Struthio camelus: one gene and its partner. The protein of the gene in region 1 interacts with the protein of each later gene in a pairwise test. Links are inferred from orthologs where the notes say so. Each region holds a gene or a part of one and is shown in the gene's direction. Other genes may lie near its edges.

Evidence for each region.
Region 2: the proteins of GCC1 (region 1) and CEP57 interact in binary tests that used the Homo sapiens proteins (3 or more experiments, as listed by UniProt). The two-hybrid records come from large-scale screens. The link is inferred for Struthio camelus from reciprocal best matches to the Homo sapiens genes GCC1 and CEP57.

The regions. Positions count from the first base shown.
Region 1 is NC_090942.1:1,067,392-1,077,996, reverse strand, and holds the start of GCC1 (GRIP and coiled-coil domain-containing protein 1), read left to right. Parts: upstream 1-6,107; 5' UTR 6,108-6,332; intron 6,333-6,446; exon of another isoform or gene 6,447-6,469; intron 6,470-6,675; exon of another isoform or gene 6,676-6,802; intron 6,803-6,958; 5' UTR 6,959-6,973; coding exon 6,974-8,020; intron 8,021-9,718; coding exon 9,719-10,605. Other genes in the region: ARF5 (ADP-ribosylation factor 5), read right to left, coding at 74-199, 2,273-2,344, 3,091-3,200, 5,289-5,369, 5,443-5,509. UniProt on the Homo sapiens protein: Probably involved in maintaining Golgi structure.
Region 2 is NC_090942.1:211,616,170-211,626,452, reverse strand, and holds the start of CEP57 (centrosomal protein of 57 kDa), read left to right. Parts: upstream 1-6,106; 5' UTR 6,107-6,435; coding exon 6,436-6,474; intron 6,475-10,283. Other genes in the region: protein FAM76B, read right to left, coding at 1,398-1,594, 2,544-2,699, 4,129-4,183, 4,554-4,618, 5,455-5,559. UniProt on the Homo sapiens protein: Centrosomal protein which may be required for microtubule attachment to centrosomes. May act by forming ring-like structures around microtubules. Mediates nuclear translocation and mitogenic activity of the internalized growth factor FGF2, but that of FGF1.

The DNA.
Region 1 (10,605 bases):
GCGTCCCAACAGCGGCCCCGAGGCCACTCAAAGCATCTCCTGCAGGGACGGGGTCAGCGCCCCGGACACTTACAGTCCTGCTGCGCAGCGTCTGCAGGCCCAGCTTGTCGGTCAGCTCGCTCACGGCCATGGCGTTGGGCATGTCCTGCTTGTTGGCGAACACCAGCAGCACAGCGTCTCGCAGCTCATCCTCCTGCAGCTGCGGGGAGAGGGTGCAGATGGCTGAGCCAGGCGCTGCCGGAGAAGAGCCAGCAAACCAGCCTCTTGTACCTCCGCAGCTCTGCCAACCCTGCTGCGGGGGTCCTGGCAGGGCGACGCGACGGCCTGCTTTGGAGGGACCCCAAAGAGCCAGGAGGACATCAGCTCCTCCGCTCGCTTCCAGCATCTTGGCTCCTCCCTCCCACCCCCTTCACTGCCTGGAGGTCTCGGTGATGCAGGACGTGCTCACTTCTGGAGTTCAAGCCCTCCAGCCTGCGCACCCACAGCACTGGGACTGTCACAGTGAGACTGCACAGGACAGACACCCAGGGACCCTGCGCAGGATCCCCATAGCATGGAAAAGCTCAGGGTTTCTGCAGTGCAGATCCATCGGTGTCTCAGCAGAGACCCCCATTGCTGGAGCTCCTGAGTGCTGTGTTAACAGCACTTTTGCACAGGTCAGTTACCGGCTCTGCAGCAGGTCTCCAAACCCTGCATGAGAGCCAGAGCCGTGAGGAACAGATGTCTCTGGGCCTTTCCACCAGGAGCAGCTGTGCTCTTCACAAAGGAGACCTCGGCTTTGGAGCGCTCAAATCCACGGGAGGGAAAGGGAGGCACAGCGGCAGATGTGGGGTAAGCTCCAGGGGAGCCGTAACTGGGAGGACGCTGCTCTTTCTGTCTGTACAGGAGACAGAAGAAAAGCACCTCCAGGACTGAGATCACTGCCAGAAACATGTTATCTAACATCAGAGGTACCAGGCTATCAGGCTCTCCCCTACAAACGCAGAAGAAAATCTGTCTTGTGAATACAATGGAGCTCTTCGACAGCAGAATGGGGTCAGTGCGAATGATCCCATCCTTTTGCCCTGCTCACAGGCTGTTACACGCTCAGTTCTGTGGCAGCTTTCCACCCCAAGGATGCCCTGAACCCACCAAGACTGTTAAGCCAAGGAGTAAACAATCCCCACCTTGCAAACTGGCTTTTGGATGGCATTTCTGGAAGCTGCCTCCCCTCCTCATGTGCACAAGGTTTTAGCATGCTCACTCACCCCGGTCTCTGCGGGCAGTGAAAACAGGAGCCAGGCTGACACAGAGATGGTTTCTACGCGTGCCCCACGCAGTTTGGCCCTGTGGCAGCTAAAAGGCTTGGAAAATCAGCAGCTAAATGCACCTCCATCGGGGCAGGGAAAGCACATTCAGAGCAGCACTGAGCAGTCCACTGCTCCACGTCCCAAGAGCTCAGCTCTCGAAGCACGTTAGCACCCCGGGCAGCTCGAGGCTAGCAGTGAGGCCATGCAGAGCACAGGGAAAGCAGCGTGGTTACGGCGAGAGGCCTCCCAGGACGTGTGACATCGTGTCCCAAAACAGAGTTCCCACGTTTGGGATGAGCAGCCCCAGCTCACCCCTCAACCAGATCCCACTGAGAAGGTGACTGGGGACTGCATGCCGGTGCCCGAGGGCACCCAGACCTCCAGCCTCCCCAGCCTTCCCACCCCTCCTGCCAACCCTGACACAGGCCACAGGAGAGCGCTTTGGAGAGTGCTCCAAACACTCGCCTGCCGCCACACTGTGCGTGGGCTCCTCGTGGACTCAGGGAACGTTCAGAACACAATAACCTGAGAGCAGCAGGCTCCTGCACTGGCCGTTTCAGTGCCTCAGCTAAAGAAAGCCCTAAGTATAACCAAGAACTGTGTTTTCTTAACTGTGTTTTCTTGTGTTTTTTACCCCTCTTGCAATTGCTCCTGATCACTACAGTTTAAGCCTCTGCCTGGTAGATTAGAATTGTCGTCTGATCCTTAAACCTTGTCTCCTGGGAAGCAATCTCTGTGTCAGCAGACAGACGCTTGCTGCTCCTTTTCACAGGGAGAGACAAGTCGTTTGACAAAAACTGGTGAATGCTCCAGTCCCTGCCTCATGCTGGCACAAAGGCACTTCTGCAGGGCTGGGGCAGATACTTTCTGTGCCCCAGGACAGCCAGGCTGGCAATGCAACAGCCCCCTCTGCCAGGGCAAGCCAGCCTCCGTGCAAGACCAGATCTCTCAGCCGGGCACACGCAGTTCCCGCCAACACTTACCATCTTCTGCAGCTCATCTGCAGACTCTTGCACTCTTTCACGGTCATTGCTGTCCACAACAAAGATGAGGCCCTGTAAGAGAAGTCAAGGTTGGAGCAGGCAGCTTGTGCCCGGCCCAGCGAGGAGGTAGATGTCAGGGCAGCCTACAGACACCCCATGACAAACAGAGAACAACTCAGCTGCCTGCCAAGCCCTCCTCAGCCCATGCCCATGCCGAACCAGAGCAGCAAGGGTGATTAACCTTGCCCAATTAGTCCTACACCTAGTCCTCTGAAGGACTCTTATCTCAGACACTTCTCTTCCTGCTAAGGAGCTGAGGGAAATATCCAGATACAGTCCTTAGGGACCCATCTGGCTCACTGCACTGGGAGCCAGGAATTATTTCCTGCAGCCACTCACACGCTCAGTTCAGGCAGGATCATGCCAGAAGCTCCAAGGGACCACAGGCTGCTGGGACCCTGCATCGCTACAAGTCATGAAGTTCAACCAAGCACTATCCCAGATTTCCTCTAATCCCAAAGCACATGCCTGCACACGAGGGAACGAGAGTGACTTCAGCCGAGCTCCCTGCTCAGTTCCTCGTTAGGAGGAAGAAAGCCTGCCACCAGCCACTCGAGGACCAGAGGTGACGATGAGCTTCGACCTTTCCCCACGCAATGCCCTCTTTTGCTAAGAGGGGAGCAGGTTCATCCCACCGACCAGAACAGCGTTTGTTGCAGATGTGGGGGCCCATGACCCTTCGCCCCCCCAGCAGCACAGAGGCCTGAAGGGGTCCCCATGCAACAGCCACATCCACCGTGGCCTGCGGCGGCACGTACCTGCGTGTTCTGGAAGTAGTGCCTCCACAGGGGGCGGATTTTGTCCTGGCCACCCACATCCCAGACCGTGAAGCAGATGTTCTTGTACTCCACTGTCTCCACGTTGAACCCTGCAGGGGTGGCAGGAAGGGCAAGAAGTGACAGCACACACACTGTCAATCCTGCTGGCAGCCTCAGGGCTCTCAGACCACAGGCAAGAGACACAGGAGGCAGCAGCCCTAGTCTGATCAAACTCTGTGTTTCTGAGCTGCGGGACAGAGAATCGCACAGGGAGATGATGCAGCATCAGGCATACAACACCCACTGGTGTCTCAGGAGTGCAGGAAGGGAGACCAAGGTGCACTGCTGCATTCATCTGCCACCAATCCCCAGGGAGCATCTCTACCCCCAGCACCGCACTGTTAACACAATTCGGCTGTGCAGAGGGTCTAGGAAACACATGCTGCAGAGCTTCCTGCCCTCAGCCTGCTCACTCTGCAAGCTGAGCATCCCCACGCTCACAAGCATTGCCCAGCAAGTCTATCCTGGCCCTGCCAGCTCTCCAGGACCAGCACTGCATGATTTCACCAGCCAGCCCCTGGGAACATCCCCTTGAAAACCTCAGCAGCCCAGATGTGGCTGATACTCATGTACCAAAAATCACAGAACAGTTGGGGTTGAGAAGAGCCTCTGGAGATCATCTAGTCCAATCCCCAACTCAAGCAGGGTCATGTAGAACACATTGCACAGGATCGTGTCCAGGTGGATTTTGAATATCTCCAAGGATGGAGACTCCACAACCTCTCTGGGCAATCTGTTCCAGTGCTCAGTCACCCTCACAGTGAAGGAGTGTTTTCTTGTGTTCAAGTGGAAATTCCTGTGTTTCAGCTTGCGCCCACTGCCTCTTATCCTGTCACCGGGCACAACTGAGAAGAGTCTGGCACATCTTCTTAACATCTTACCTTCAGCTCTTTAGTCACACGAATAAGACACCACCCTGAGTCTTCTCTTCTCCAGGCTGAAGAGTCCCAGCTCTCTCAGCCTTTCTTAATATGACAGATGCTCCAGTTCCTTCATCATCTCTGTGGTCCTTTGCTGGACATGCTCCAGCAGGTCCATGCCTCTCTGTCCTGAGGAGCCCAGACCTGGACTCGGCACTCCAGGTGTGGCCTCACCAGGGCTGAGCAGAGGGGAAGGATCACCTCCCTCGACCTGCTAGCAACGCTCTGCCTAATGCAACCCAGGAGGCCACTGGCCACCTTTGCTGTAAGAGTATGTTGCTGACCCATGTTCAACTTGTTGTCCCACCAGGACCACCTAGGCCTTCTCTGCAAGGCTGCTCTGCAGCCAGTTGGCTGCAGACCCCAGCTTGTCCTGGTGTCTGGAGTTATTGCTCCCCAGGGGCAGGACTCTGCCCTTCCCTGTGTTGAACTTCATGAGGTTCCTCTCTGCCCATCTCTCCAGCCTCTTGAGGCCCCTCTGGGGTATCAGCCACTCCTCCCCCTTTTGCATTGTCTACAAACTTGCTGAGGGTGCGTTCGGTCCCACCACCCAGGTCATTAACGAAGGTGTTAAAGAGTGTTGGCCCCAGTATGGACCCCTGGGGCGCACCACTCGTGACCGGCCTCCAGGTGGACTTTGTGCTACTCATCATAACCCTCTGAGCCCAGCAGTTTAGCCAGATTTCAGTTGACTTAGTTAGCGTGTCCTTCACCAGTTTGTCTGAGATGTTATGGGAGACAGCGTTGAAAGCCTCCCTAAAGGCTTTCCACCCGTGCGCCGGCAGGAACAACAACCTGTCCTGCCTTTAGAGCTCGGGCAGGCTCTGAAAACAGCACGTGGCGGCCTCCTCGCCAAGCGAAGTGCCTTTGAACCAGACCGAAGCAAGATCACGCTGACGTAAGGGCTTCAGTTCAGCGCTTGCCAACACAAGGCAGATGAGGAGCCGCAAACCAAGCTGCGCGAGCGCAAGGTGGCCCACAAGCCAACCCTGCTCGCCGAGCGAGGCGGCGCGCCCGGCAAGGCTGCAAAGGCGGGAGGCGGCAGGCGCTGCCGAGGCCCCCGGCCTCCGCGCGGTAGGGCCGCTCGACCGCGCCGGGCCAGGACCACCCTCCCAGCCGGCCGGCAGCCCCCGGCACGCGGACGGGGCACCGGGCCGGCGACGCCAGCCGCGTCCAGGGCCGGGGGCGGCCGGGGGCGGCCCGGCGGCGGCCACTCACCGATGGTGGGGATGGTGGTGACGATCTCGCCCAGCTTCAGCTTGTAGAGGATGGTGGTCTTGCCGGCGGCGTCCAGCCCCACTGCAACAGAGAGGCGGCGGTCACCGGTGCCCCCAGGCCCGGCCCCGGCCCGCCGCCCGCCCCCGCCGCTCACCCATGAGGATCCGCATCTGCTTCTTGCCGAAGATGCGGGAGAAGATGGCGGACACCGTGAGGCCCATGGCGGCGGCGGCGGCGGCGGCGGCGGCGGGAGGGGAGGGACGCGACGGCCCCGCTGCCTCGGCGCTCCGCCGCGCCGCGCCACGCCCCCTCGCCGCCAGGCCCCGCCCCCTCCCCGCCAGACCCCGCCCCCTCCCCGCCCTCACTTAGCTAGACCCCGCCCCCTCTTAGCCAGGCCCCGCCCGCTCCCTGCGCCCCCGCGCCGCCCGGGCCCGCCTCCTGCCCCTCGGGCCCGCCCCCCCGGCCGCCACGCCCCCTTGGACGAAGCCCCGCCCCCTCGGCCTCATCCCTGCCTTACGGCGCCCCGCCGGAGAAGCCCCGCCCCCGGGGTTATTTAGGCCCGCCCCTCGCCGTGACACGCCTCCATGGGCCTCGCCCCTTCCCTCTGACGCGCGCGCGCGCGCGCACCCCCCCCCCGCTCCCGTCCCCACGGAAGCCCCGCCCACTTCCGCCCCCGCCCCTGCTGCCGATGGCGTATTGGCCCCCCCGGGGGGCGGGGCTGCGCCTGCGCATTGAAGCCCATTGGCTCCGCGGGCGGCGCTCGCGGCGCGTCTGTGGCGTGTCGCCCCCATGTGCGCATGCCCCGGGGGAGGGGGGGGGGAGGGGGAATCTCACCCCGGCGGATTGTGACGGGCGCCCCGCCAGGCGCCGCCCTCGCGCCTCGGTGCGGTTCGCGCCTGCGCAGTCCGATCTCCCGGGAGGGGGTGGAGGAGGCGGGGGGGGAAAAAAAACGGCGGTCTGGCGCGTGCGCACTGAGCCGCGGCGGGCGGCGGGGGGGGGGGCTCCGCGCCTGCGCAGTGGAGGCTGCGACCCGCCGGCCTGCAGGTGAGGCCCGGGCGGCGGCGGCGGCGCGGGCCGGGAGCGGGAGGGGGGGTTTGGGGACGCCCCCGGCGGCCCGTCGCTGCCCTCTCTCCTGCCCCGATGCCTCCCCCAGCCCCGGCGGCCCGGGAGAGGCCCCCTTGGTAGGGCTCCGGGCTGGCGGTGCGCGGCTGGGCCCTCCCCCCCCCCCCCGGTGGGGCCCGGTGACAGGACGAGAGGCAGCGGGCCCCGGCTGAAGCCCAGGAAGCTCTGTCTGAGCATGAGGAAAAACTTCTTCAGCGCGAGGGTGACAGAGCACCGGCACAGGTTGCCCAGAGCGGTTGTGGAGCCTCCCTCCTTGGAGATGTTCCAAAACCCACCTGGACGCGATCCTGGGCAACGTGCTCTCGGTGACCCTGCTTGAGCAGGGGGTTGGACCAGCCGGTCTCCAGAGGTCCTTGCCCACCTCAACCCTTCTGCGGCCTAACAGCAGCCCAGTATGTTTCTTAGGCTGTTCTGTTACAGGGTCATTAACTGGTGTCCCAGGGGGAGTCCAGCATGCTGGTCCTGATGAGCAACCTGCTCCTGTTAATCATAAATATGTCTTTGCTCTTTGTTTAGCCTGTGCACTGGTTTTCTCCTTCTCGTTTCAGATCGCACAGGGCATCATGGAGAAGTTTGGCATGAACTTCGGAGGTGGCCCAAGTAAAAAAGATCTTCTAGAAACTATTGAATCTCAGAAAAAGCAGCTTCTTCAGTACCAGGCTCGGCTGAAGGATGTTGTCAGAGCCTACAAGAGCTTGCTCAAAGAAAAGGAGGCCTTGGAAGCTAGCTTGAAAGTATTGTCCGTGTCTCATGAGGCAGATGTTGGCTTGAGTGGAGCTCACCCTGCGTCTGTGGCAAGCTCCAGCTCTTCCTTTGCCGATTCTGCTGATGACAGGAGTTCTGTTCACAGTGAGGATAGCGTGGGGACAGCCACCAGTGCAGACACGGCTGCCAGTCTGGCCAGTACCAAAGCTGAACCAGGAGCTGAGGATGATAAGCCTGCGGCCACTGCCTCCTCTCTTAAATCAGAGGAGACAAGCGGTTCAGAGAGCGGCATCAGCACAAACAGCGGAGATGTGCCATCATCTGCTGGTGAGGCTGATAAAAGAGTGCTCCAGCTGAAGACTCAGCTGGCCACCTTGACCAGTGCTCTGTCCACAGTCACACAGGAGAAATCTCGCATGGAAGCTTCATACCAAGCAGACAAGAAGAAGATGAAACAAGACCTGGATGATGCCGTTAAGAAAGCAGAGGATGAGAGGGACAAGTTGGAGACCGAGCTGAAGTCTGTCCAGGAACAGTTAGCAGAGACCAAAGCCCGTCTGATCACACAGCAGCATGACCGAGCCCAAGAACAGGGTGACCACGCTGTTATGCTGCGAGAGCTGCAGAAGCTGCTCCAGACTGAGAGGACTTCACGCCAGGACGTAGAGCTAAAGCTAGAGGAGACCAGGGAGCTGTTGGCTGGGAGGGTATGCCTGGCTGACCGTGCGGAGGGGTATGAACTGCAGATCAAGCAGCTGAGCCAGGAGGTAGAAGACCTGAAAAAAGAGTTGCAAACTGTGCAGGAAGAGAGCAACAAACCAGACCCACGGATACAGGATCTGCAGGAGGAGATGGCCAGTCTCAAGAATCACTTCCAAGTGCAGCTATTGCAAGAGATGAGAAAGGTAATTCCCTGGCTGTGTGCTTGAGCAGCTTACTCTGCGGGACATAGCAGCAGCAGTCAGGGGGCAGGGTTTGACTGGAGTGGCGGCACAATTTCCCTTCCCTGTCCAAGAAGTTTGAAATAAGTAAGAACATCATGGCTTTATTTGATGAGACGGTATTCCCTGAGGAAAATAAAGGCTGTTTGTGGTTCAGTGTGTAAGTCATACTATGCAGGGGCTAATGACCATGGGCGTTGGGAGCAGCCTTTATGAGGTGCTTGGGCTGTGGCTATCCTCTAGAGCGTCATTAGGTTCTGAACACGTTATCATCTGGTGTGATAGTGGCTGGGATGGGAGGAGAGACCTTTGCTTTGACTCACTGTGGCAATGAATGTGCTCTTGTCCTTGTAAAGTATTTAAGGGCAATGCAAGGTACAACTACTGTAGCTCATAAAAGGAAATAACTTCTAATGCAATGTTCTGTAAATCGGTAGGACTTTCCCCGGATGAGTGTGGAGATAATTGTGAAATAAGGCCTCTCATGCCTTCGTCTTCAGGGCCTGCACTACTTGCTTGTTGAAGTCATGAAACCATCTTTCCCTTTTCCTATTCTACAGCATGGCAGATGAGAGATTTCTGTGAATTTCACAGCTGCTGTGACAAAAGCTATCAAACTGCAGAGGTTCTTGTCTGATCCATTGTGAAAGATGCTGTGCAGCTAAAGGTGACAGCCCATCCGTGCTGATGGGAACAACATAAACTGGTTTGGCTAGCGTAAGCCCAGGGAGCTTCGTGGCCTGTGCTATTGAAGGGCCTGGGGTTACTTTTCAGTGAAGTTTGAAGAGCTCTGGGGAAAGAAGAAAGGTAAATATGAGAAAAAGGCTCTTGCCTGCATGCATGTGGGGAGAGAAAAGAGCTAGAACAAGGGATGTGATGTAAAAGAGGAACCTGTGTAACTCTGTGGGTTGTGGGGCAACGTGCTCAGGAGATGGCACCAGTAACTGAATTTGCAGCCGGAAGCACTCCAGAATGGTATCCTCCTCATCCCTCGGCGTGGAACACGTTTTCTCCTTTCTAATCTGAAGGGTCTAATTAGGGACTAGGCTGATTTCACGCTATTTGCCTCTTTTTGGACGGTATCTGCAACACGTTCTCTGACAGAGGTGACAATGATCTGACCCCAGTTATGCTTTAATTCGTGATGGTCAGTCAAGTGCTGCCATTCAAATTTTCTATTAGACAGTTGGCTCTCGATAGCCATAAAAACTGTGAGCACCAGGTGTTTGTTGTAGTTACTCAGGAACCACTGAATTATGTTAATACCAGTGCAACAAAGCATAGCATTTAAATAAATTGTAGTTTGAGATATGAGAGTTTTAAAGCACGTGCATGTTTTTAAACATCCTATGTCAGACTGTGACATGAATTTGCTTTTTCCTACCCCCCACCAACCTGTAGCAATACAGATAACACTGCTGACAGGAATTCTGTTGGAGGACTGGGAGTAAAAACAAAAATGCCTTTGGTTTCTTTTATCCTTGAATCTCCCTTTTCAATACGGGCAAGTCAGCGTAGTGGCTTGTACAGGATTTTAGGGGAAAGGATGGCTCAGCCCTTGCCTGGAATTCATCAGAGCAGAATTAAGCCCCTGGGTAAACTGCAGACCTCCTGCAGAGAGTGTTGAGGTAATCTAACCCTCCCGTGTCTCTTTGCTCTCAGACTGCACAGGCAGAGGAGCAGCTCCGCCAGCACGCCCAGATGGAGGAGCGGCGAGTGGCTAGTTTGGAGGGCCAGGTCTCCGAAGTGTCCGAACTACTTGGCACTTACGAAAAAGCCAAGCAGAAAGACCAAATGGTCATTCAGAAACTGAAGGACCGCATTGTACAGTTGGACTTGGAGAACAAAACCCTAGCCATTGCTGCGTCCAGCCGCTCTCCTGCTGATATTCATCTAGAAGAAAGCAACCTTGATGTGAATGTGCTAAAGGATAAAATGGAGAAGCTGAAGAAGCTATTGCAGGCAGCAGCTAAGAAGAGTCAGCCTGCTCTGGACTTCGAGAAGCTGTGTGAGCTGGAGCTGCCGAAGGGCACTGAGACTGGGGATGGCGAGAAGGCAACTGCTTTGTACTATCAGCAGGAGCTAAAGCAGCTGAAGGAAGAATTTGAAAGGTACAAGATGAGGGCACAAGTGGTCCTCAAGAACAAGTCAGCCAAAGATGGCAATCTGGCTAAAGAACTGGAGGAAGCTCAAGAGCAGCTGGCTGATCTGAAAGAGAAATATGTTGTACTTCGACTGTCCTCTGAGGAAATGGAGAAGCAGCACCAGCAAGATATGGAAGCCAAGAGGCAAGAGCTGTCCCAGCTGCAGCAAATTCACAGGCAGGAATTAGAGCGATGCCAGCTGGACTACAGGGAACGGACACTGAAACTGGAGGAAGAAATGCACAAACAGCGGGACCGAGCACTGGCTGTGCTGGCAGAAAAGGACCAAGAACTGGAGCAGCTGAGATCTGTCACGTTGTCTTATGGGCTTCAAGGATCCAAAAACTACCTAGCATCAGGGACTGATGTTACCAGCAATGACTCATCAGGTAACGATTCTTCAGA
Region 2 (10,283 bases), about 210 Mb from region 1:
TCTATTGGACCTTAAGCAACGGACCCAGGGCAGCCTATAGAAAAAAGGTGTGTCACAGCCTATGTAGAGGTATGCTTTTTCTAACAGCTCCTGATTATATTAGAAAATCTGTACTGAAGAGCTCCATTTTTTTAATTTAATCTTTACTAGATCATTGCCACACTCGTTAAATCACGTTTACCTTGTTACAACTCAATTTTCAGCAGAGACTAGAGAGAATAAAAGCAGTATAACATCTCTCTGGTTGACAAGAATAATTTTCTTCTTCGAATTCCTAAGGAATAAGTCTATTTTTTTTTTTTTTGTAAGTGAAATTCTGTATATTTCTCTCCTCCTCGTTCCCAATATCATCCCAGATTACTCTACGTCTGCTTTTAAATCATGCTTGGTGAGACAAATTACGGTCAAAATGGAAAGTTATAAGCACTGGAAAAGTGAAGCTCAGAATGAAAGCGTTTGTGTGTTCCTTCATGACAGGGATCATTACCATTGCAGCTATATTTTTCATTATCCAGCACAAAAAAGAAAGAAGAAAATAAGTAGTTTTAAAGTATGCTGCCATAATCCTACTAATAAAAATAAGAATCACATAATCGCTATTATATTAGCAAGAAAAAGAAACAAATCAGTCCTGGGATTTACGACTGGATAAACTGAGTATGTAAATTAAAGCTTGTATGCTGTTAATGCCACAGCCAGAGAAAAGCATGTTGAGAAAAGTTGCGAGATGAGATGTAATTATGTGAAACGTTATCAGAGTGCCAATAACTGAACTGACAATGTCGTTTTCCTGTGTCTGCATGGCAGTCACTCATGAACTGTCACTTAATACTGCCTGTTCCAGCAGGATTTGATTATAACAACTGCCAGAGACACGTAAACTCGTCCTTGACTGAGGGTGATTCTACACCATTGCTTAGGCTTCTCAGGCAAGTACCCCATCACAATTAACTAGGAGTATGGGCAAACATGTTTGTCACAATGAAGTAAGTTCGGGTTAAGATTCCAAGCGAAATAGCTATTCCAGGCTGCCACGACATGTGTTTGAACCCGTGGTAAACGCCTGCAAGTTAGCAGTTACTGCTTAGAAATCCAAATTCTAATTTATCCTCAAGTAACTTGTTTCTGCAGCCATTCTCCAGATTTCTTTCCTAGACCTTCTATCAACTTTAACATCAATAATTTTTAAGATCACCAGGACTTTCTGCTGTTCGTTGATTTCTGTTTATCTAATTTGCAAGAACACAAAGACTTCAACAGGAACAAAAACATTCTACTAACGACCTTCAATAACTTATTTTAAACAGTGTTTCTTATTTCCTTTAATTTGACCTTAGTACTAAGAGAACGTGGAACAGGAAGACGCATCAACAGCTATTTTAAGTTTTAATACTTACTTATGGTGACTACTGCTGTGGCGGTGATGATGGTGGTGATGGTGGTGGTGTTTTGAATGATGCTGGTCCTTCTCAGTAAGAGATGAGGATGAGGAGTTAGAATGTGACGATCCTAGGCTCTTCCTCTGTTCTTTTGTCTTCTGTAGTACTCTCTTGTAGGACAGTGTGCAGAGCCAACACAGTAACTTTCCATCAACCTTTTGGGAAATAATTCACAATTTTGTTTCCAAGTATACTTGCACTAGAAAGATGTACCTTAGTATTTGCCAGAAAATCTTTTTATCTGTTTGTTATCTGTAAGAAAAATCTAGACCTCTCTTTGGCATGAAACAGCAATAGCATATCCTCAAATATATGCATGGTATTATTTAATATAGCGAATCTCTTCTCATTTCTTTTTGGCATTTAAAGTTATGCTACAAGACAGTTTTAGCAAATATTTGTTATTGCTAATAATAACAGACCCACTCTGTATCATAAAAGTGAGAATGACTTTTTTAAGGGGTAAATCATTTTTGGTTTAGACACCATCTATGCTCTCAACCCATCGTATTCCAGAGCAGAATCAAGATGTCCAGTCAATGTATTACTTGTACCGAGTAAATTCTTCTGTAAAAACAGCATTATTCTTGAGTTCAGGCAAGAGGTTTATGAGGTGATTTCCTCAGCACCTTCTGGAATGAGAAAGTGGCACTCACCAAAGCTATTTAAGAAAGTAGAATACAAACAGCTGCTCAGAGCAGTCTACCTCTCTCTGGTGCTACACTTTTAAGACAAGGCAGGCAGATCGGAAGTGGTGAACTGACAGATTCAAGTTTATGACACACATAGGATACGACGGATGGGGAAAAAAACCCAAAGCACCAAGAACAACTCAGCTACTTAACCTCTGTTCATCAAATACTACTGTCAGCTTACTCTTAAGCTTATTAAAAAAAGAACGATTCACTCTAAAATAAGTTAGCCCAATAGCTAACGTAATGATTCTAACTTGTGGAATTTAATGCAAATACTGAAAAGCACAACACAATGACTTTAACCTGATATTAGTGAACTTCAGATACCCTCCTGTTAATCTTCCTCTTATGAAGTAGAAGTGTCTTCGATTGTCAGCCTAAGCCATTACAGATCTGGAGCAAAACATACCTTCCTTCTTCCTTCCTCTTTTCGATCAAAAGCGCATTGCTGTTTGCACTGTTCGCATGTCTGAGGTGGGCCATACTTCTTTTCTGAGTTTGTGCAACGCTGACATTTTGTGCCGATAAATGCTGCAATAATATTACAATACTGACAAGGCTTGGGCTGAAAAACAGGTAAGTGGAACAAAAGTTAATATATTTACGGTTTCCATAATGAGCTAGTGCAGATACTTCAAATCACACAACAATACTTCTAAACTACTAGGGCTTCATACGATCCATCTCTCAAAATCCTTTTTCTTTACTGGTTCTACCTTCAACACTAACTTTTTCCCCTAAGGTAGTGGTCCTTCAACTGTCAAAGAAACTCTGGGCCTTCTACGAACACCTGAGATTCTATTCATTGAAGAACACACATACATTTTGACTGCTCATTTTTCCCTCCCTCCCTTTTTTTAATATGACAGCATCTTCTCCTCTCTTTTACAGCATTACTAAAGCAGCTACCTAAATAAAATTTAAATAAGTAATCAAGCCATTTTTAGGCCCCAGTTTCCAAACTACTTGAATTACTCGGGGATTTGAGCACCCTATGGCTCCAAGATTAGCATCTCTGTCCCTGCAGCTCTGTAAGAAACTTAACAAACCTTCAGATACCTTTAGATCAGATTATCAGCTTTTATATCATAGAGTAATACAAAACTAGAAGATAGTAGTTTTCTGGCAGTTTTCTTTAGTCAGAAATGGCTGATTATCTTCAATGCAGTTTCCTTTTTTAATTAACTGTTGCTAAAAATGTTGTTGGCTCTGTATTATATTTCATTGTACAATATTTTAAGACTTTCAAAGAACATTCTTTTTGTTCCACTTTACATTTACAAAATGCCTGACTATATACCAACATCTGTCATGTTTCTCCAATAAGCTGAATTTCATGTAATATGGTGTATGCTAAGCACATAGAAGTCAAGCACTTCTGTTTCACGAAGATTATCTCAACACCTTTTATAAACTAATACCTGCAGCACACTAAGATGCAATGCAGAATTTGTGTATTCATATATGAAAAAGTTCTCTAACAGAAGTGAAGCTGCAATTAAAGCTGAGAAAACGCAAAATAACATTAATACAAATAATACTCATGAACCTTTAATACTTAACACCTTAATACGGTTAACAAGCCTCTAAAAATTTTAATACTCACATCATATAAAAAAAATCATACAGCTTTTCACATTTAACCACTCATTAAAAACACATCTAAACATCTTTCTGATGTCAAATGTTTGCTTACGAGAATATGCAAAGAATTATTTTACATGCATAAAGTGAGATAACATTCTTTTTGCTATGAATAGCTGTATTGCAGTTATTCATAACTGTTACACTATATATAATCACAATGAATTTTATTTTGAAAAAAGGAACTGTAAGCGAGGAAGGAATTCAAGAGCTGGCAATAATCTTCATCACTTTTCCAAAATCTATTTTTCTTTGTCAAAGGAAAATAAGAAATTTAATTCCTAAAAGATTTTTTCTTTTAGAATGTGAACGAACCTGAGTTCAGTTTTCAGAATTAAGAGCCTACTCACCGTTCCAAACTGCTTCACGTTTTGGGCACATTTCTTGCATATTGTATTAGTTTTGCTAAAGATAAAATTGCATAATGTTGAATTCAGTGACATACATGGACCTGGAAATTCTTTCCCATGCAATTATTAAAAAACACACATGCAAATATACGCTATAGTAAATAGTGAATGATAAGCAGACAAAGTGACCTGCCATTGTACTGTGTTTACACGACACACTTGGGTCACTAGAGCAGACAGGTTATTTTACTGTGGTTCAATGGTCTTCCAAGAGTTTAATATTTTCCCCTCTCTCTGTGAATTTCTGTTGTTACAAACAGTTATGACTGCAGAAACAGCTGTTCTTTCTGCAGACACACTGATAACCCAAGGCACTAGAACAGCACTGTGCAGTACGCTTTCCAACGACTGAATTACTTTCATACCTCTCTTGTTGAAATTCCGATCGGCAGTAAGTGCATTTTACAATGGGATGTGCGATGCGACATTCCTAAAAAGAAAGAGAGTGGCGGCTGCGTAAGTAAAAACACACGCAACCAAATGAGTGCCCTCACTTGACCTTCCACCTTTCGCACTAGAAGCGGCTCGCACAGCTCACTACACACGCCGCTGCTTGAAAAGCGCTCCGCCAGGCTGGCGGGTGCCTCCCTTCACCAGACCTGTCTCACCGACCGGGGTAAACAGCAAAAACATCCTCCGCAGGAAACAGAGGGCTGCCAGTGCCAAAACCCCAAACCCGGCCCTCGTAAAGGGGCGGCTTTCCTGAGGCGCCTCCCGGGGGCCAGGCTGCGCGCCGCGCGCGGGGAGGCACCGTCAGCCGCGGGGCGACCGTCCCTCAGCCGCGGAGCGCTCCCGCCGCGCGCGGGGAGGCACCGTCAGCCGCGGAGCGACCGTCCCTCAGCCGCGGAGCGCTCCCGCCGCGCGCGGGGAGGCACCGTCAGCCGCGGGGCGACCGTCCCTCAGCCGCGGAGCGCTCCCGCCGCGCGCGGGGAGGCACCGTCAGCCGCGGAGCGCTCCCGCCGCGCGCGGGGAGGCACCGTCAGCCGCGGGGCGACCGTCCCTCAGCCGCGGAGCGCTCCCGCCGCGCGCGGGGAGGCACCGTCAGCCGCGGAGCGACCGTCCCTCAGCCGCGGAGCGCTCCCGCCGCGCGCGGGGAGCCGCCGCCCGCCCCGTGCAGCCCAGCCCCGCCGCGAGCGGAGCAGCGCGGCGCTCCAAGCGGGCCCGGTCAGCCCCTGCTCAGCCCCGGCGGCGGCCGGCGCTGTCCCGCTAGCCGCCCCTCAGCGCCCCTGCCCAGCCCGCCGCTGCCGGGCGCAGCGCTCGCCGCACCTTGCAGAGCTGCTGGCCCTGGGAGAGCTCCTCGAAGGGGTAGCGCTGGTTGCACTTGGTGCAGGCATAGAGAGCCGGGGCGGCCGCCGCTGCCGCCGCCGCCATCCGCGCCGCGGCCGGCAGGGCGGACACGGGCGGGCCGAGGGAGGGGAAGAGGGAGGTGCCGGGGCGAGGGCCGGAGCGGCCGCCTGGGCCGCCGCCAAGGAGCCGCCCGCGCTCCCCCCCTCCCCCCCCCCCGCCGCCGCCGCCGCGCCGCAGGAGCGCGCCCGCCGCCGCGCCGCGCCCGCGCCGCCCTAGGCCCCGCGCAGAGCCCGCGCCGCGGAGCCGCGTCCCCCTTGTGTCGGTGTCGGCATCGGCGTCACCCTGCACCCCCGCCCTTCCCTCCACCCCGGGCTCGGGCTCCCGCGGCAGCCAATCACCGCCTCGCGCCAAACCTGCCTTCAAAACTCGCCGCCCAATGGCCGCCCCCGCGGCCCTCGCCGCGGCCAATCCGACCGCTCTTGCACCGCCCTGCGCTTGCCGCTGATTGGGTGGCCTCGTGGGCGCCGCGCTGATTCGACCGCTCTGGGCGAGTTCGGCTTCCCCATTGGCTCCAGCTCAGGGGCTCATTTTGACAAAGACCATCCTCTTCCGTTCTCTGCCCTCTGCGCGTGCGCAGGAAGCGCCCTGCGCGGCACACGAATCCCGCGGTCGCTCGCTCCTCCCCAAGTTGTCCCCTTCTATTGGTTAAGGAATGGCTTTTTTTCCTCTTTATTGGATAGAGAGCATGTCACTCAAACCTCAGTTTATGACGTAAACGCGTAACTGTCCAGGGTGGGGCTTACCCCTGCTCCGCCTTTCTCATTGGCAGGCCGAGCCGCCAGTCAAGCGGCACGTTCGGGCGCGGGAGGCGTCGCTGTGGGGCCGGGCGGAGCGGCGGAGGCTGCACGGGTCTTGTGGCCTTAAAGGGCTATGCGGTAGCGCGGGCGGCCCGCAGGGGACATGGCGGCGGCGGCGGCGGGGGGTGACCATCAGCGCACGGTGAGGCTCGGCGGGTGTGGCGGGCGACGGTGAGGGTGGGGGGCCTGGCTGGTGGGGGCGCCTTGGGGCCGGCCCCGGGGGCTGCCCGGCCCTTCGAGCCCGCTCGGCCGCGCCGGACCGGGCCGGTTTTACCGGCCGCTCGTGGCGGGGCCCTGGCAGCCCCCGGGGGAAGAGCCGCGGGCGGGAACGGGCCCGCGGGCCTCTGGCCGGCAGCCTGGCTGAAATGGCGCCGTTTCACCCGAATTACGGTACGAGCGGCCGCAGGGTTTCGGCTAGAAGCGAGTAAAAGGGCGGCGAATCGGTCCCGCGCCGGTGCGACAAGGCTATCTGGTGGTGTCGGCTGGCGGGGCGTGCTCTTCGGTGAGCGCGGGGCGAACCGCGATTAGGCGGCGGGGAGTTATAGTTGCTCAGGGTCAAGCCTCGAGTTCAGGCTCAGAGCTTCAGGAGCGAAGTGGACTGTGGAAACTGTCTTTTAAGTCCTGTGTATATACATCAAAAAATCATAGTATGATTCTGTACCCATCTCTTATAAGAGGATCAGGAAAGGGAAAAAATACTCTGCTATTTAAAAGCGGCCTTTTCCCTGGAGGAGCATTCAAAGAGTAGATTTGTAAGTGAATGCATGGGAATGAAACTTGGTAATACAGTCTGTTTCCAGAACCAGTTCTGGGGACATGACTTTGGAAACACCTATTTCAAAATGTGATGAGACTCAGCTCGGCACTAAAATTCCATGATGTTTGATCATGCACTTATGTTTTAATTGTAACCGGTTGCAAGCGGTTCCTTTTGAGAGCTGGTAGTGTGTCTACTGCATGCTCTCCAAACCTTAGCCTAAACCTCAATTTAGTTTTGGTAAGTAACCACATCCTTAGGTATGTATATAAGAACCTGGCTAATGCAGAAGTAATGCAGAGGTAAGTAGAAGCAAGGCACTAGAAATTACTCTTTATGCTCTTCTTGAGGTGCAGTGCTTAGAGAAGAAATGAGACTAGTGTCTCTGCTTTGTGAAAAGCAGTATGAAGAAACTGAGGCTTGACTAGAGTTAGCATAGTTGAGCTTGCTGAACTGGGTGGAGGCTGCCTGGAAGCAACTAGAGACCATGGAACAGAAGTTTCAATTTGGGTTTCTCATCTGACATCTCGGTCTGATGTTTGTAGCTCTCCGAAGTTGGATCCTTTTGCAAGTAGCAGTGTCTTATGAGTAAGCAACTTGGAAGTGCAGCGATGGTGCAAAAAGATGCAGCATGGTGGTAGGAAACGTATTTCTTGTGAGCATTCTTGATTTGGGGTCTCAGTAGTATCAGCTGCTTGATAAAACTAGCCCAGCTCAGGGTTTTCGGTTGTTCTTCTCTTTCTCCTTCTCCTCCTGCAGTGTGGTTCCGGGATGTACACCTGCAGTATTAAGAGAGGTGACAGAGTGTTGTGAGGGTTCCTATATCCTTCCTGACTAGTATTTTTCTAGGATGCATTGAGAAGGATGTCAGAAAATGGGTTTTAGCCTCAAGTTAATGAACAGTAGTAAAACAAAGCTTTTAGGAAAAAAATTTTCCACTGAATATTTTTCATATCTGCTCACGCAGAAGGTAAACAGTGAAGACCCAAAAAAGAAGAAAAGCAGACTTCTCACTTTATTAAAATCAGTATGAAGTTCAGACTTTTACCACACCCTACAGCAGAAAATAATAATTAAAAAAAAAAAACTGTCTCATGCTAACATTTTTTCTTTTTTGCTGTAAGGGCTTGACCAAGTTTTTTTTTTTTTTTTTTTTAAGCTAGAGATCTTGTTTAAATTGAGAATGTTCCTAACTCAGTTGTGTATCATTCGGGCACAGACAGCACTTAAGTTAGTTTTTGAGTGGCAGGGTCTATTCCACCCTCCCCTTCCCCAATAATGAGGGAAGATGGCAGACTAGATCTTGAGAGATTCTCTCCCAAGTGGCTGTTCTGAAATCTTCAGTAACTGCATAATTTTCACCCATTTCTGCTCTTTTTTTTTTTTTTTAATCAAACATGAGGACTACAGGATGTTATTGAAAGCATCATCCAGCTTCAGACGATTACCTTTTAAAATATTTTCATAGAATATATATACACATATGTATATATATGTATGTATAAGAACTTGTAAAATAGCACCTTCTCTGACTTATTCCCTTTGTCCAGTGCCAAACTGCTAGTACCAATGGCACCATCTTGGTGCCTTTATGCTTTCTTGTTGCAGTTATTGCCTGACAGAACCTTCCTGTGTTTTTCTGCTGCTTTGGTTCTATAGTTTGTATATAAATCATTGCTATTTTTACTCTCCCCACATCTAGTCAAATTATGGTGAGGAGGGAAAAAAAAACAAAACATCAGGTACTTTTTTTCCCTCCCTGAGATCATTTAGTATGGACATGCTGTTTCAGGGAAATCTTGAGTGTGATAGGACTCTAAAGCATTTGGTATAATAAGATTCATAGTTGTCTGGATGGTTGTTCATGGCTGGTGTGCCATACTATCCTTTCCATCGAAAAGTGCTTGATTTGAAAAGTGTACTTCTGCCATTAGTTGCTAGTTCCTATGTTAAAACTTTTCTGATGTTCTGGACCTTTGCATTTAGTCTTGGGTAGCTTTAAGAGGTCACCGTTTCCTAAGGTTAATATACCTTAGTATATTAAGCTATTATTAGTCTGCATCTTAAATATACTTTCTTGTGTACTTGAGCAGACAGCCGATATGAAATGACTGCACAAATAAATTTTGGAAGATGATGTCCTCAGATATGTAAAGGTTAAAATATGTTCAGTTCTCCACCATAGCATAATACTGTTGCACTTAGCTGCTGTGGGACTGCTAAGCTGCTTTGCTTGTTGTTATGAGGCTTCTGTGTGGTTTAAGGATGGAAAGAAGATAGAGTATCGAAAAGAGGGGATAAGGTGTAGTCATCAGATATGGCCTGCTCATAATTAAGAACAAAGAGTTACCTGATTGTCACACTTTTGTTTCCTCTGTTTCAGGATTTTCCCAAAATATGCGCAATATGGTGATCCCCATGAGAATTTCCAAGAGCAGAAAACTGACTTAAAAATAATTTTTAATGACTTGGGAGAACGGGGAGGAGGAGAAGAGCAGGGAATTACATTGCAATCTGAAATTTGTGGTGTTGAGTTCCTTGCTGCCGTTTCATAAGCTTTCTCAAACTTTTCAGCTCAGGTGTGTTTAGAAGTCATTTTTATATGTGAAACGGAATATAAAATGGTCTTGTGCTCAATTGTGTACAGAAAATATACTTGTTAATGTGATTCTTTAGACAATCATTCCTTCTTTCAGTCTAAACGATAATATGGATATTACTTCAGCATGAATTTTTAAGTATTTATTTCAAGCATATGTCTGCAATGAGTATTATAGTATTCAAAGATAAATTAATTTTAATGCGTAATTTTAATGCATAATGTATTCAAGTGGTATTTTGGAGAAATGCAACTTTGCAACTTGATGTTTAAGTATGCTAGCTTTTCCTTTCAGTTAGTCCGTTATTGCCTAAGTAGGTGTCCCTTAAGCCAGTGAAGAAAGCAATTTTTTTTTTAGTGTAATTATTTTTAGTTCTGCACAGACAAAACTTTACAGCTGAAAAATGAAGACATCTAGGAGAGTTCAGATGTCTGACAGCCCTACTTTGATTTAAAACCAATGCACCTTTTCTTCCACTGGCTCATGGGATAGCTTCTTGTGATTCGACAATAGATAAAACTACTTTCTGCCTTTTTGGGCTGATGAGGCTTACGTTGGCGGCTGCTGTTACTCTCTGCCTGATGCATAAATTCT